4 linked regions of the Cricetulus griseus genome follow. The protein of the gene in region 1 interacts with the protein of each later gene in a pairwise test. Links are inferred from orthologs where the notes say so. Each region holds a gene or a part of one and is shown in the gene's direction. Other genes may lie near its edges.

Region 1 (4,062 bases):
GAAGTCTGCACGCAGGTGCAGAGGACCCCTTTAAAAGATAGGCCCCTGCACCTTTCTCTCTCTCTCTCTCTGCCCCTTTACGCTCGCGCGCTCTCTCTCTCTCCCCCTGTTCCTGCTCTCTGTCCCCTCTCTCTGTTTCCCCGCTGTCTCTCTATGGCGACCGGCCATGGCGGTCAGCCATTACCCTGTCCCTCTTAGTCTCCCCATTCCATTCTACCGGGCCTTATAATAAACTTATAGTCTTAAGTCAATATGTCTGTCTCAATATTTCTCTTTTCTTCTTTTTAAACAAAAGAATAACACAATACCTTATGTCTGAGCCTCAACACCAAAATAAATGAATGATAACAGCTTTTTAAAAGTAGCATAAGGAATCTAACATGGAAATACGAGAAGGCAAAGCTTATGTGTATGACCATCCACTCTGAGCATATCCAATCTCAAAAACTAAGCAGGGGTGGTCATGATCACTGTTTGGCTAGCGATAGAATGTTTGAGATAACCAAAGACCACAATTCAGATCTTGACAACCACTTTCTGTCTTGGCTCACAGGACACAACTTATTCTCATTGTTGTATAAAATGATCTCACGTGCTTTACACTCAGTATATACACCTTTCTCTTTACCATGTAAGCACAGGCTTCAAGGACACACACACACACACACACACACACACACACACACCACACGCACGCACGCACGCACGCACGCACACACGCAGGCATGCATGCCCTTCACGATTGCTAACTATCATTGTGGTGGCTGGTAGCACAAACAAATACATGCAATTTAATGAGCTGTGGTGTCCACTTTTAAAGTAGACAAGAGCAATCGATTTTCAAAATCAAAACCTATGGAAATATTACTTTCTGTATCTCTAATGAGCTCTACCTATGATTACCAATGGCTCAGATTTTCTCTTGGGTTCCTTATTCTTTCAACGGGATAATGTTTCCTATGGCTATTCGCTAAAATAAGGATTTTATCCAAGCAACACGTGGAAATGACAGTCGTCCTGATTTAGTAACCTGAACTTATCCTCCTTTTACGAGGCATAAAACTTCCTCGGTAAATAAGCAACACTAATGAGATGTTTGTAGGAAAACTAGCACCCGCGGTGCTAGAGGAAACATCGGTGTGGCCTGTAAACACCCATTTGAAGGGTGATATAAAGGTCTCAGGGGGGGAAGGAGATGTTTGGAGACAAGACCTCGGCACTACAGCATCCGGTCTGTTCATTCCTTCACAGAAGATGGCTTCTGATGGCTCCCCTGGGTGCTGCTCCTCTGAGCCCTGTGCAGAGGCTCCGGACTGTGCGGCTGCCTCACCCTGTCCCACCGATACAACTTGCCTGCCCAGTACCTGTGCCACATCCAGATGTCAGACCCCGAGCTTCCTCTGCAGGGCTCACCTCTCAGCCGGTCGCCTCTCACCCTGCTACTTCGCTGGCGGTTGTAACAGTCCGTGCCTGGTGGGGAGCTGTGCATGGTGCGAGGAAGGGGCGTTCAACAGCAATGAGAAGGAGACGATGCAGTTCCTGAATGACAGACTGGCCAGCTACCTGGAAAGGGTGAGAAGCCTGGAGGAGAACAATGCGGAGCTCGAATGCAGGATCCGAGAGCAATGCGAGCCCGATGCCCCATTGGTGTGCCCAGATTATCAGCGTTACTTCGACACCATTGAAGAACTCCAGCAAAAGGTTGTGTGTCTCATTCCCTAATGTTCTCTGTTTCCTGTTTCAGAATTCTCTTATATTTACAGTGGCGCGGGTTGTTTTATGGATGTAAAACCAGGGAGGAGGGATTCCCAGAGCTGGTATGCTGCCAGGAAAAGAGGGCCATAGATGGCAAGAAATCTGTCTCAGTATCAGCACTATTGACCATAGAAATGTCATGTCTGTGTGTAGACTATGTCATCTACAGAGAGGGGGAATCTGAATTATGATATCTAAAATCTGTTCTGCATGTATCATTACTTATTTATATTCCTTATCAAACAGACATCAAATGCCATCTCTTTTAGTTCACCTGGTAATCATTTTCCTTTCGTGTGCATGTAGAGAGGGAATACATGCTGTCAATGAGGCCTGAGGTCAATGGCAAGCGTCTTCCACTCCCCGCCTTGTGTTTTGAGACAGAGTCTCTCAAGGGACCTGGGGCTCACTGATTTGACTCACTGGGTGGCTGGCCAGAGAGTCCCAGGGATACTGCTGTCTCTGTCTCCCCTTGCAGGGGTAACAGGCACACACTGCTATACTTAGCTTTCTATACATGAGTTCTACGGTTTGAACCTGGGTCCTCCTACTTGTATTGCAAATGCTCTACTGACAAAGCCTTCTTTCTTTTTTCATTGATGAATTTCTATGACCACAGACAGAGATGCAACTCTAATAAATATTAGCAGTGGAGAAAACTAACAAAGCTCAGCTGTCAATGATGACTGCCAAATGTCCTGCCTTGTGTCACTTATAAAGGAAACCTTGAGATGCAGAAATGACTCAGCAGTGGATAGCAGCACTGTAGCGCTCATGAGCAACCTGAGTTCAGTTCCCAATACCCATATATGGCAGTTCACAACCACCTATAAGTTCATCTCCCGAGGACCTGACACTCTCTTCTGGCATCCTAAGGCAAAGAACAAGTCTACACACACACACACACAGAGTCAGAGAGAGAGAGAGAGAGAGAGAGAGAGAGAGAGAGAGAGAGAGAGAGAGATCAAATACATACACACTCTCACACACAATTGGAAAAAAGATAAAATCTTTTTTTAGAAAGAGAACCTATTTTTATGTCTGTATTTTGTTTCTAAATTGGCACTGCATGTCTCCTTTTTTCTCCATGGTATAGTTATAGGCTGAAAATTATGTTATGCTAATTTTGTTAAGCTAATGAATGGCAGACTGTTAAAACAGAAATGTGGGTTTCTTCCAAAGAGCTGTTGATTACATAATGACTTGCCTCTTAGATACTGTGCACGAAGGCAGAGAATTCTAGACTTGCCGTACAGGTGGACAACTGCAAACTGGCTGCTGATGATTTTAGGTCAAAGTAAGTCAAATTGTATTTATTTTTTAAACCACATTGTATTTTATGTATACAAATTGCATTCTAAATCTTAAATTTAATTTGAAAATAATAATGGCCTCCAGTGATAGAGAATTCTCTGCATGAGATCTTTTTTTTTTAATTTAGAATGTTTGAAACTTGAATTCACCATCATTTGGGATACCCGGGGAATTGTGACATGTGTCTCCCTGGAGGCCACATGTCACTCATCCTTGTACCCCGGCACTTTGGTCAGTGTTTAGCCAAGTAACACACTCCCTTTTCTTTCTCTTGCTGTGAAAGGTATGAGAGTGAACTGTCTCTTCGCCAGCTGGTGGAGAATGACATCGGTGGCCTTCGTGGGATCCTGGGTGAACTGACCCTGTGCAAGTCAGATCTGGAGGCCCACGTGGAGTCCCTGAAAAGTGATCTCCTTTGCCTTAAGAAAAGCCACGAAGAGGTAAGTGAAGTGGCCACTGTGCCAAGGACTATAGGGAGAGTTCTACCGAGAGATTTCATGGGTATAAACTGAACCAGGGCAGACACTGACTAAGCTGGAACAAAACCAGAGGCAGGCCCACTGTGTGGTTTGAGCATCCCAGTGTCTCTCAAGGTAGATGTGACATACAGTGTGTATTGTTGCATAACATCACCCGCCCCAAGTGCCAGGGTGAGGCCACTCTCCCTCCTGCCATTGCTTGGGTGAAGAATTAACTCCACTAATGGCTATTTCTGTAGCTCTACTGTACAACAAGAAAATAGAGCTGTATCCACTTCCAAAAAAGGAATAAATAGTCATGCAATATTAGGAGTAATATTTTTTAGATATTGTACATTTATAATCTTGTTTCTATTATAAGCTTAAGAATGAAATGCAGAGTTACATAATAAAGTAAAACAAAAATGTATTCTTTGCATATTTTGATGGTAGTAACAGCTGACAATTACAGATACCTTAGCATTTCTCAAGAATTTTATAAATTTATTGTCTAACTCTTCCCTGTTTCACAATA
Region 2 (4,017 bases), on another chromosome or scaffold:
CCTCTAGAAGTTTGAGGAATGAATGATAGAATAAATGCCCAAGGACTCAGGGCCTTTCTCAGAATATTGCAATAATCAACCCTTCCTATGGCTACTCTAAACCCGTGGCCCAAAATACAGAATGATAAGCTGCCCTTGATTTAACTCCAACACTCTAAACTCCCTCTCAGCAGTGCCCCCTAGACTCTCTCACACCATATTAGCCTTCCTTCTTTATAGGCCACTTCCTCCATGGCCTTTACTTCTGGAGTGAGCTACTTCCTGATAAGTCCTTCCTTCAGACATATAAACTGCTTAATTCTCAAGACATGGTCCACCTACCACCTCCTCAGGACATACCCCCCATGCTGTCCAGTGTCCCCACACATGCCCTTTGTGGCAATGTTCCTTGTTGGACTGTGGCCCTTCCTCTGTTATAAGACCTTCAGTGATTGAGAAAATCAAGGCATGTTAAGACCCAATGAGAGGATGGACCAAAGAGACAGTGAGAAAAAAAACAAAAGGACCTGGCCTTTTGGTATCACCTGAGTAGCTGCCTCCAATGGTGACACTGGGGTTCGCAGGAACAGAGTAGCAACGGGAGCTTCCTTCCAAGGTGAGACGTAAGTGGAACTTTGTTTTCTCCTTTCGTCATTCTCTATATGTAGAGACAACCCAGCACATCAGCACTTACTGCAACATCTACAATGGACTTCACAGAGCTCCCTACACTTTTGCAACCCAGCCTTTTCATTTAATCTCACAATGAGTTTTGAATTCCGCATTGTTGCTGTTATTTCACAGATGGGAAACTTGGGGTTTAGTGGGCTAAGGAATTTACTCAGTATGTAAATAAGCTTGTTCATGACATGAATAACTTTGTACCTATCTCTGAAAACTTTGAGTATCTACTGTGGTCCAAGCCATCCTCATACAGCCACCTTACAGTGGCATCCTATGTTTAGGATAGTCTGTTTGACATTCTAACACAGCCCCTCAGCTGGGCTGAATCCTCAAAGTAGGGTCTTTAGACCAGCTCTGCTACCACATGAATTCCTTAGATGGACAACAATCCCTCAATTAGAAACCAGGGTGGTAACTAATGACCAGAAACTACTGTCTTAGTGAGATGGGTGGTAGACATGTCACTGGGAGCATGGACCTCCACCTGTGCTGTGAAACTGAAAAGTCTTCATTTATCAGGACTATGCTGGAATTTGGGTACCACCATGAAGTACTACAAGAAATACACAGAATTTCAGAACGTGAGGTACTGCATGTGTTGTGTGAGGTATTATAAGAACATGCCTGGCCCCAGCACCCATGTGTTAGGGAGAGGTACCATGTTTCATTGCTGGGGAGTTGAAGGGAGGGCATTCTGGGCAAAGGGTCTGGAGACAGCTAGTGACCTCGAGGATGAATGTGGTTTTTCAGTCATGTGAGGTTGAGCGTGTAGCATTGTGGTGGGTGCAGGGCTATTCCAAGCAATCAGGGTACAGAGACAGAGGAGAAGCTATGCAAGGTCAGAGGAGCCTCAGCCAGAGGGAGGACACTTCTTCCTCGTCATGTGAGGGGCAATTCGCCGTGTGTCCCCAAAGATAGCTTGAGAGCAGTGCAGACCATAATGAAATTTACTTGTCTAACTGGGTTATTGGTAGGGTCAATCCAATTCCTCTACACACAAGTGACAAAATTGAGCGTGTGCCAGTGTGTTCATGGGTTGCTTTGAAAATCGTTATGAATTCTAAATGAAGCACCCAGGAATTAAGTGGATTACTCTTGACTGAAGTCATTTGCAAACTGAATTTGGTGACAACTTAACAAAATGTCTCTCGGGTCCCTTCAAAGAGGTGAGTGTAATTTGGTCTGTGCCAGAGTCAGCATCCACCCAGACTGGTACTCCATCCAGGCTGAGAGAAGGCCTCTTCAGAGTTGCAGAAGTTCTGAAAATACTGCCTTTCCATGTAATCAGAGAATTTGTGAGGGTCCCAGGGGGCACAGCCGTGAAAATGAGCTGTCATCAGCTATTCTCATTAGAATATGCAATTGCATATTAGCAAAATGTGTTTGGAATAATAACCAGCAGGCATTTCAACATGCTCCAAAACTGTAAGGCATCAGGCAAGAATTATGTCTTTTTTTAAAAAAATGGGAGAAAACCTCTCATTAGATAGTTCACTTTGATTTCAGTCTCCATAGTAACTGGATATTCAGATACATGCAGATATTTTTGTCTTTGGAAGTTTTGCATGTCTTGGAATTTGGACATGTGCACAGACAAAAAGCCAGATGTGATGTACAGCCCATGAGGTGGCAATTAGAGAAGCCAGTGCCGGGCAATGGAGCTCTCGCTGTTGAACGGCAAATTCAGAACCTTGACACGGGATGAAAACCCTGCAGACTTCATGAGAGTAGTCTTCATACTGAGCAGTTGTGCCTGCATATGTATGTGCCTTGTGTCCATGTGACAAGGACATCTGAGTCCATGGCAAGGTCCCAGTTGGGCCCACCCCTGATTTCAGTGAGCTTTGATTTCTTCCATGAAGTTGTGATTTTTCTTCTTTGACCCTGCTCAAACCTGCTGCCCTTGTGTAAGTTTGCAGAGCTGGAGTTTGCCTTGCCTTCAGAAGTAATTCCTTAATCTGGATGATGTGAGGCTGCACAGAGAAAAGGTCCTCAAAGCCAGGACAGGATGTGGACCAGAAATCCCAATGGTACAATAAACAGCCTTGGAGTGTGTACTGGGTGGTTTTGTGTGTCAGCTTGACACAAGCTAGAGTCATCAGTGGAAGGAGCCTTGGTTGAGGAAATGCCTCAGTGAGATCCGATTATAAAGACATTTTCTCATTTAATCATCAAGTGGGGGAGGACCCAGCCCATGGTGGTTGGTGCCATCCCTGGACTTCTGCTCCTGGGCTCTATAAGAAGGTGGCCTGAGCAAGCTGTGAGAGCAAGCCAGTACTCTGCCATCTCACCTCTGAAGACTATCTTTTAATGAAAGAAGTATGTGGGGTATGTTCCATGAGTTACTTCTCTGAGCCACCATGTTGCCAGCTGAACTATACCCTGGTAAGAATGGCGGTAGCCCTTCCAGGATCACAAATGGAGATGGTCCTTTGTCTCCTCCATCAAGATGCCCTCAGCAGAGCTATTCAGAATCCACCGTGGTGTCTCTCTGCTTCTGGCAAGTAGAGGACCCTGGAGATGGTAGTTTCAAAACAGGAGATGGTGGTTTCAGAAGTGCCTGGTTTAATAGTAGAAACCATTCCTTTAGAAGTTGCCAGCATTGCTAGTCATGATGCTCTATCCCTGTAGTCCCAGCACTTAAGAGGTTAGAACAGGAGAGACATAACTTTGAGGCCAACCTACGCTACATTTTTTTTAATGGAAAAAGGGTGACAAATTATATTTTAAAAAATCTTCACTATTTTTTAGTAAATTGATTATTTTAAGTAGTATAAAAATGCCCCTAGAGGAAGGAAGATGACTCAATGGCTCAGTGGCTCAGTGCTGCCCTTTCGGCACATACCTAATAACCTGAGTTCAATTCCTAGAACCTGTGTGAAGGTGGAAGGAGCAAACTTACTCTACAAAGTTGTCCTCTGGTCTCCACATAGATCCTATGGCATGCAAGTCATACATATGCACACATGCATGCACATACACAAAAAACCAACAATCATCATAATAAAAAGCTTTTAAAGAAAAATGCATATAAAGAAATACAAATTGTTTTCATTAAGAAATGAAAATGGATGGGTGGTAGAGGTGCACACCTTTAATCCCAGCACTCAGAAGGCTGAGGCAAGCAGATCTCTATGAGTTCAAGGCCAGCCTGGTCTACAAAGCGAGTTCCAGGATAGCCAGAGATATTTACAGAGAAACCCTGTCTCGAATAATAAAACCAAAATAAAACAAACAAAAAAGGAAGATGAAAATGGGGAACTAGATAGATGGCTCAGCAGTTAAGAGCACTGGCTGCTCTTCCAGAGGACCTGGGTTCAGTTCCCAACACTTGCATTGCATCTACAAACATAG
Region 3 (4,150 bases), on another chromosome or scaffold:
CCCCACCCCAGACCAGTGCCCACCATCCCCTGCTCCAGGATATCTGTGTGCCTCTCATCTCTGCTTGTTTGCTTGTTCTCTACTTGGGAGACATTGGATTTTATTTCAGTTTTTGGCAAGTATGAATAATTTGGGGTTTGGGCCTTAATTTGATTTGTGATCATGGAAGTTTAGATTGTAGATATCTTTTTCCTTTTAAAATTTTTTTGTTTTTTGAGATAGGATTTTTCCATATAGCTCTGGCTGTCTGGTACTCACTCTGTAGACCAGGCTGGCCTCAAACTCACAGAGATCCACCTGCCTCTGCCTCCTGAATGCTGGGATCAAAGGTGTGCACCACCACCGCCCAACTCAAAGTACATTTCTGCATTGGCTGGGAATTGAACCTGGGGCCTCCCGTGCGGCAGGCAGAATTCTACCACTGAACCACCAGTGCTTTTGGATGCCTTTAAAAAAAAAAAAAACAAAAAAAAAACTAGTTTTATTAAGAAATGATCCACATTGATGGAATTCATCAGGGTGTTTTCACAGGGGCCCCAGGAGAGTCCCAAATCTAAGCCCAGAGATTGTTCCAGTACTGTTACCGTACACTTTCCTTCCTGTGGGCCTTGCTTTTCCAGGTGACCCTTCACCCTGGTGTGAACCTCTGTGCACTAACTGCTGGAGTTGTAAGGTTGTGGCTGGCCTGCTGCTGGGTGGCACAGGCTCAGGAAGCAACGCAGTGACAGGCCTGCAAGTGCATGCCCACATGGGGACAGAGAACTGCAGTTGCTGCCTCTGCCCATTTCAATAGGAGGAACCTTCCAGTCAGCTCCACTAAGGAGGGGTTCAGTGCCAAGGACTTCTGCCAGCCTGGCAGTAGACAGTCCAGCATACCGTCTGCCCTGGGACTGCTGGAGCATTGTGGTAGTAGGGTGATCTGAGCTGTCCAGGCTGGGTCTGCCAGCTTTGAAAGTCTCCGTGTCTATCTGTGGAGCCTGGCCTGTGGTGGCGAATGGTAGACACACTGTTCTTGCCTGCAGCAGCTACTTGGAGCGTTGTCCAGTAGTTTTGAGCAGGGGCCTCGGGATATTTGGAATTGGGCTTTATGGGGAAGCTGAAGTTAGTCCCCCCCCCCCAGCCTTCCCACTAAGCCTTGTGCTCCTGAAGGCAGCTAACATTGGATGTTTGAGGACTGCAGGCCAATCCCAGGACAGCCCCTCAATCCCATCACCAGCTGTGATCTGGCCCAGCACCCCTCTGGATGGGTTCTGTCCATCCAATAGAAGAGGCTTTGCCTCCTCTATTCCCCAGCCCTCTGACCCCTAGCAGAGTGGGACTAGGGCTTAGAGGGTCTGCTTGAGGCTCACAGCCAGTTCTTAGGGATTCTGAGAATGGTGGGGATGGCTTAGAGCCCTGGTGCTATGCATGATGACCTCTCTGTTGCAGACTATGTCTACTTTGAGAACTCCTCCAGCAACCCGTACCTGATCCGCAGGATTGAAGAGCTCAATAAGGTAAGAGCTCGACACAGTGATGCTGCTGCCTGACCCTGGCAGGGAGGGGTGGAGCCTCCCTGTTGTGGGTGGGCAGGGTCTTCCTACCTGGGTTTTGATGTCCTTCCAGGGGAGGCTGGGAGTGAGTCCCTGTGGCCATGTCTAGGCTTCTTTTTTTTTTTTTTTTTTTTAATTTTATTTTTTTGATGTGTGTGGGTGTTTTGTCTGCGTGTATATCCATGCTTAAGGAGGCTGGAAGAAGGTATTGGATCCCCTGGAACTGGGTAGAGTTATTGTGAGCTGCCATGTGGGTGCTGGGAATCTAAAACAAACCCTGGAAGAACATCCCATGCTCCTAACCACTGAGTCATTTCTCCAGCCCATGCCTAGGCTTGCTTTGTTTATTTGTTTTGTTTTTTTCAAGGTAGGATTTCTCTGTAGCTTTGGAGCCTGTCCTGAAACTCACCCTGTAGACCAGGCTGGCCTCGAACTCACAGAGATCTGCCTGCCTCTGCCTCCCGAGTGCTGGGATAGAGGAGTGTCCCACCACCGCCCAGCCTGCCTAGGCTTCTTGAGGACAAACGTGGGGCTACCTTGAGGCGTCACCAGTTCCGGCACCCCATCTCCCAACAAGTACTGGTCTGTCTAAGGCAGGTTCCCTCATGGACTTGAGCACATCAGGACTCAGAGGGATCTGGATGGTTCTGGAGACTAGTCACAGACCAAGGGCAGTGGCCCTCTGTGCCACTCATCCACACTCTCTCTCTCCTCATTCTCTTCCCATTTCCATTAGCCTAGGTGGCTTCCTGGCTATAGGACTACCATGAACACTGCAAAGTTGTCTACTCTGTCCATTACAGTGTTGAGGGTGTGTGCAGTATTTATACCCTGGGGTCCTATTGGTGTCTTACCCCAGTCGCTGCTTCTGCCATAGTTTGTGTCTGCTGGGAATCCTTGGCAGACACTGAATCCTTGGTCTGGGGGCATGGTTGTTCCATTGCTAGAACCCTGGGATAGTCACACACCACCTAGGGTGGTGGCTAGGAGTGTGGAGAAATGGATGCATGGATTCCAAAAACTCGGCTCCATTCTACTCTGCTTGGAGTGACCTTTTGGCTCTTTGGAGAGTGAGGTGGTCTCAGGTCAGCACAGTCACATAGCAAGCATACCAGGAACCTTCTTGTCCCTTCTGGGTCTCAAGGATCTCATGGCCATATCCCTACTGTGAGCCTCAAATGTGGCCTGCCCACTCTTGGCTCTAAAGTCCCACGTGATTAGAGGCTGGGGTAGGCAGGCCTATCCCTGCTCTGCTTCCTCTAGTGCCAGGCAGAGAGCAGGACCGACCAAATTCCCAGACCTGTGTCTTTGTAGACACTCTTTCCTGCCAGGCTGGGTGGTGACAGGGCCTCCATAGCCTTCTTGAGTACCATAGACCAGTGAGAAGGGCTGCTCTCCTAGACTCAGGCTTGTTGGAATGGTGGCTTGGGATTCTTGGGATCAAATGGGACAGAGAGGGCAAGGTTGGATGCTACCCCGCAGGTGGCCATGTTGAGACCGGACCAGCCCTGCAGGTGGCTCTAGATGGAGGCTTAGGTGTAGCCCCAGCTTCTAGGTCTGGCCTTACCAGCTCCTTGGAACCCATGTTGCCAGGCTGTGCCAAGGCGGTGTGCTGCTACAGCAGCGTCTTCTACAGCCGGGGATAAGCTCTGTATGAGCGTGCGTGTGTGTGCACACACGTGTGTGCTTGTGCACACATCTGGGGATGTTTTGGGAAGATGAATTGGTCCGAGCATACAGGTAGCTTCTAGAGACCTGAGGCCTGTCATGGCCTAGGTGGGCACTAGTGTTTCCTCTGATGTACTCACTGGGACCAGATCCTAGACAGGTGCCCCATGGTTGGCTCTGGCCACAGTTGTCAATAGGCAAGATAGTAGGTTGGGTAGCTGGAACTCTACCAGCTACTATAGGTGTGGACCAACAGGCTCTCATTTACACATTTCAGTTACACAGACTTGGACATGAACAAACAGGTTTGTAGAGGAGTATCCCAGCTGCAGTGAGCAGCCACCAGAGGGTGTCCACTGGCCCAGCACATGGGAGCTGTGTCAGCCCCATCATTTTGAGTGACATTGTAGCCTAGGTGTCTCAAAGCCAAGTGCCAAGGACAAGTCAAGTAGTAGGGAGTTGTGAGCTGGGCTGGCAGTCTCAGATTCCCAGGTGTAGACCAGCCTCTCTGTCTCTCAGTGTCAGACCTCTGTTACTGGGATGGGGCTCCTATCCAGGCTTCCGTTTTGGCCATTGCCATGGACCCCTGTAGTATGGATGTCTACGGTAGACAGTACCTCTGATCTCCACAGTCTGTGAGAGGTCCTCTAGGTTTCGCCCTTCAGTACTTGAGATTAACAAGGCACCATGAACTCACTTGATGTCCCTGGCTTCCATCCACAGCTAGCAAGTTCAACACACATGAAATTGCCTCAGGTCCCTGCTACAGAGCAAAGACAAGTGCCTTCAGTGATGAGAAACTCCTGAGGCTAAGCAAGATTAATGCCTAATACGTGGAAATGGGGCTAGGAGGAAAAGGGGACAGCTAGTGCAGGGGACAGAATCCAGGGCTCAGGAAGGGAGAGACAGTACCAAGCCTGAGCAGGTCTATGGACAGGGGACAGTGAGGG
Region 4 (4,271 bases), on another chromosome or scaffold:
GGAAATTCTAGCCCATTTCCCCATAATAGCTGTAATATTTCAATATAATTTATTGATGCCGATCCATGTGGAGGTGTTCCTTCCAGGCCCGGGGGGAAACCAGGGTCTCACACACACTGCCCACATGGTTATTAGCCTTTAAATTTGCAATGTGTATTCCCATGAGCCAGAAGTACAAGGTGTTAGGGACCAAGAGTGTGTTTTCTTCACATCCTTACTCTGCCTCCAACCTGCATGAAACTCCAAAGGTCACCCGATGATTGGTGCATTATCTATGTCCCACATTGTGCTGAGTGCCATTAAGTCCCCCTGGAAGACCAAACATGGAGGCTCACATCTGTAATCTCAGTACTGGGGAGACTGAGGCTGAAGGGCCACCAAACCACATTCAAGGCCAGCCTGGGCTATGCTGTGAGACCCTAGGTACACATCTGTGACCCCAGAATTCAGAATGTAGAGGCAGGGGGAGACAGTGACATACAAAGTCCAGGGGAGCCTGGATTAAGGGAGCCGCCTTGAAACTACAGGGCCCTGGAAAGAGGAGGGGGGGTGGGAAGATAGTTTCCACTTCCCTCTGGTGTTGGTTTCCGGTTCACCATTATACCACCATTATCTGCACTTGTGCTATCCACCCTGATTAGTGAAGGAAACCAAGCTTTGAGTGCTCCTGGGTCAAAGTGAGAAACCCAACCCCTGTACCAAAAAGGGCAAGAAAGAGGGTCGCAGCAAGGAAAACCCAGGCAGGCAGGCCTCTTAAATCTAGGGCCCATTCACCGCTCAAGAAGTTCATGAAAGTTGCCCCAAAAAAAGTTCTCTCATTTTGTCCTGGGATATTTTCCTCTTTTCTTTTTTTTTTTTTTCCTTTCTTTTTGAAACAGGGTCCATGTAGCCCAGGACAGCCTTGAACTCTTGCTTCTCCTGCCCCCACTTTCCAAATGCTGAGGTGACCAGTGTGTGTCGCCAAGCCTGGCTTGCGTGCCCATTTTACAGAGGAGGAAACTGAGACTGGCTGGAGGGAGCTAGGGGGAAAAGATGCTGCGGGTAGGAGCCTCTGAGTAGAGCAAAGCTCGCCCGCGGTCTAGGAGGAGCAGCGTGGGAGCACCGAGACCCGCGTCCGCGCGCGGTGCGGCCCCGCCCCCACGGGGGACGTGAAGACGCGGACCCCGCGCAGCGTGGGGACATGTGACCGACTGCAGAGGCCGCGCGCTGCATCCCCGGCCCGGCCGCGCTGCTGCGCAGGACGCGGGGAGGCGCGCGCTGAGGCCGGGAGCACCGCCCCGGGAGCACCGCGGGGCGCGCGAGCAGACACGCAGCCGCACGGCCGGGGCGGGGTCCCCGCGGGGTCCCCAGCTTCGCGCAGAAACGAAACCGAAAGAGGGGACCGAGGGAGGCGGAGCCGCGCCGACGCCACCCAGCCCTGCGGGGCCCGGACCCGGGCGCGGCCAGGTGCGCACCGGCCACCATGGCTCAGGACGGCGTGGAGGTAGGACAGTCGCGCCACCCGAGACAGGCCGCGCGGGGAGGGCTCCGGGGACACCCCGACCCCCTGGGCCGCCTCCCCCTCCGTCCCGGCCGTAGCGGGGCTGCAGGGTCAGAGGTTAGAAGGAAAGGGGGTGACCTGGCCTGCATCCCGGCTCACACGCACGCACGCCAGACCGCAAATTCGCACCCGGCAGGCTGGCACCCGCCGCAGTCTGCACCATCCCCCAATGCCTGGAGAACTTTGGATTTTTCCAGGAAATGGCTTAAAGGGAGGGGGAGGGGAGAGGGTGCGGAGGCCAGAAGCCGGGGTCAAGTTCAGGAGAATGAGGGGCGGGCGCCGCTCCCCAGTCGTCCCCCACACCAGCGCTCACCTCCCCTCCATCCCAGTTGGAGAAGAGCGTCAGGCGCCTCCGGGAGAAGTTTCATGGAAAAGTGTCCCCCAAGAAGGCAGGGGCTCTTATGAGGAAGTTTGGCAGCGACCACACCGGAGTAGGGCGCTCTATCGTGTATGGTGAGTCCGCCCAGGGGGTACTGCGTGGGTGTGGTTGTCGCTCGCTGTAGCGACCCTGGCTCCCCTTGACAGGAGGCTCTCCACCACCTGGAACTCCTACTCACCCTTCAAGAGCCCTTCCCATATTTCCCCACTAGGTGTCAAGCAGAAAGATGGACAGGAGCTGAGCAACGATTTGGACGCTCAGGTAACCTGAACTCCCTCTCTCCTCAAAGAGAGATACTGTGAGAGCCCATCTTGCTATCTAAGTTCCTTCCTTGTCCGAAGCAGCCTGCAAACAGTAGGCGCTCATTATGTGCTGATTGCCTCAGATGGAGGAGGAGACAGGACAGTCGGATAAGGAGGTCCTGGCTGTTGAGGAAGGCTCAAGGAAACTAATTCTACCTTTCACTAGAAGAAAGGCTGGGCTGGCCTGGGGGGGAAAGAGGTCCCAATGGAGGAGAAGGGATAAATTCATAGAATCACTTCTGTGGCTGTACCCTGTGTGCTGAACTTGCTTGAAAGGCTTGCCAAAGTTTTGTTTTGTTTTGTTTTTTTGAGACAGGGTCTCACTATGTAGCCCTGGACTGTCCTGAAACTCACTTTACAGGCCAAGCTGGCTTTGAACTCACAGAGATCCACCTGCCTCTGCCTCCCAAGCACTGGGAATCAAAGGCGTGCACCACCATGCTGGGCACCTAAAAGAATCTGACAAATCATATTCCTTTGGTTTAGGTCTATAAGGAATATGACAAATTAATAATAGAAGGAAGTTGCCTTCATGGAGAGAGCCTGAGGGGCAAACCTCCAGGCCTTGGTTCATTTCATATCCCTTTCTTCTGCTTCCGGGAGGCAATCCTATTACACAAGAAAGCTCAGGCTCATGACATTTCACCAAGTTCTGGGGACCAGCATTTGACTTCAGGGATTCAAATTCTAGCCATTTGCAATGAAGCTCGGGCTCTGAGAGGCCCTTCTGTGAGAACCCTCAAAGAGAGGGACTTGCCCACCATCCCCATCTGGGAGCAATAGAGCAGCCAACCGGTTGCAAGCCCCCAAACTGGAGCCTTTTAAAGCCATGTGGCCAAGGAGCTGAGAGATACCTCAGCTGTTGAGAGCACTTGCTGCTCTCACAGGGGACCCTAATTCCATTCTCAGCACCTACATGGGACAGTTCACAACCACTCCAGTTCCAGGGGTATCTGACACCCTCTTCTGGCCTCTATGGGCACTACACATATGTACATGTACACAGACATACACATTTTTAAACTTTTTAATCTTTAAAAGCTATGTGGCTTCAGTGGCCAGGTGTCACATGTGTGGCCTCTGCAGATTGAAAGGTCATCCAGGGCTCTGGGTTCCATGGGCCACGATCACTGAGTGGGTTCAGATTCTGGGAAATGAGACTAGCCAAGTATTTGCTTCTTAAGGATCTTTGGGACTTCATTCATTGTAGGCACTGGCTCTATCTGTCAACACAGGCAATAATGTTTCATCTCTGTCTGAAGTCCAGGAGCCCCATGCAGGGGCTTCTCCCCCATTCAACATGGGTATAGGACTCCTAGATAGAGCCTTTCCAGTCTCTGTACTCCTTTTCCGTGTCTCCCCTCAGGACCCACCCGAGGACATGAAGCAAGACCGAGATATCCAGGTGTGTTTTTTGGCTGGGATGAGGCAGGATGGATAACTGTCCAAGGTATATAGCAGTAAGGATGGTCGCTGTGGGCTCCACAGGCAGAGGTGACCCTGTTTTGTCCCCATTCATCCATGTTTCAGGCAGTGGCCACCTCTCTGTTGCCCCTGACAAAAGCCAATCTTCGAATGTTCCAAAGAGCCCAAGACGACCTCATCCCTGCCGTGGACCGACAGTTTGCCTGCTCCTCCTGTGACCACGTGTGGTGGCGCCGTGTGCCCCAGAGGAAGGAGGTGGTACCCCAGACTTACTGGATTCCCTCCTGTACTCCACTCCTGTTGTCTGTGTCCAGAAATTATTTTTATGACTGAAGGTCATCAGCTGCATGTGTGTGTTCATTCATGCATTCATTTGTGTGTGTGTGTGTGTGTGTGTGTGTATGTGTGTGTGTGTGTGTGTGTGTGTTCACGCGCCAGCTTGTGCCTGCCTGTATGCATGCAAGCATGAGTGTGCATGTGGAGGCCAGAGTTTGGTGGTGGTATCTTTCTTTCTCAGTTGCCCTCCATCTTTTTTTTTTTAGAGAGAGAGATTTATTTATTATGTATACAACATTCTGCTTCCATGTATATCTGCACACCAGAAGAGGGCACCATGTGGTTGCTG

Evidence for each region.
Region 2: the proteins of keratin, type I cytoskeletal 40 (region 1) and Dlgap2 interact in a two-hybrid assay, tested with the Homo sapiens proteins (2 studies listed by BioGRID). The link is inferred for Cricetulus griseus from reciprocal best matches to the Homo sapiens genes KRT40 and DLGAP2.
Region 3: the proteins of keratin, type I cytoskeletal 40 (region 1) and Mta1 interact in binary tests that used the Homo sapiens proteins (3 or more experiments, as listed by UniProt). The two-hybrid records come from large-scale screens. The link is inferred for Cricetulus griseus from reciprocal best matches to the Homo sapiens genes KRT40 and MTA1.
Region 4: the proteins of keratin, type I cytoskeletal 40 (region 1) and Shfl interact in binary tests that used the Homo sapiens proteins (3 or more experiments, as listed by UniProt). The two-hybrid records come from large-scale screens. The link is inferred for Cricetulus griseus from reciprocal best matches to the Homo sapiens genes KRT40 and SHFL.

Annotation. Positions count from the first base shown.
Region 1 is NC_048600.1:113,049,061-113,053,122, forward strand, and holds the start of keratin, type I cytoskeletal 40, read left to right. Parts: upstream 1-1,254; coding exon 1,255-1,701; intron 1,702-2,969; coding exon 2,970-3,052; intron 3,053-3,352; coding exon 3,353-3,509; intron 3,510-4,062. UniProt on the Homo sapiens protein: May play a role in late hair differentiation.
Region 2 is NW_023276807.1:66,276,303-66,280,319, reverse strand, and holds the start of Dlgap2 (disks large-associated protein 2), read left to right. Parts: upstream 1-1,208; coding exon 1,209-1,249; intron 1,250-4,017.
Region 3 is NC_048598.1:180,939,059-180,943,208, reverse strand, and holds the start of Mta1 (metastasis-associated protein MTA1), read left to right. Parts: upstream 1-1,341; 5' UTR 1,342-1,403; coding exon 1,404-1,496; intron 1,497-4,150. UniProt on the Homo sapiens protein: Transcriptional coregulator which can act as both a transcriptional corepressor and coactivator. Acts as a component of the histone deacetylase NuRD complex which participates in the remodeling of chromatin.
Region 4 is NC_048597.1:133,744,043-133,748,313, forward strand, and holds the start of Shfl (shiftless antiviral inhibitor of ribosomal frameshifting protein), read left to right. Parts: upstream 1-1,462; coding exon 1,463-1,483; intron 1,484-1,869; coding exon 1,870-1,993; intron 1,994-2,130; coding exon 2,131-2,180; intron 2,181-3,587; coding exon 3,588-3,626; intron 3,627-3,751; coding exon 3,752-3,901; intron 3,902-4,271.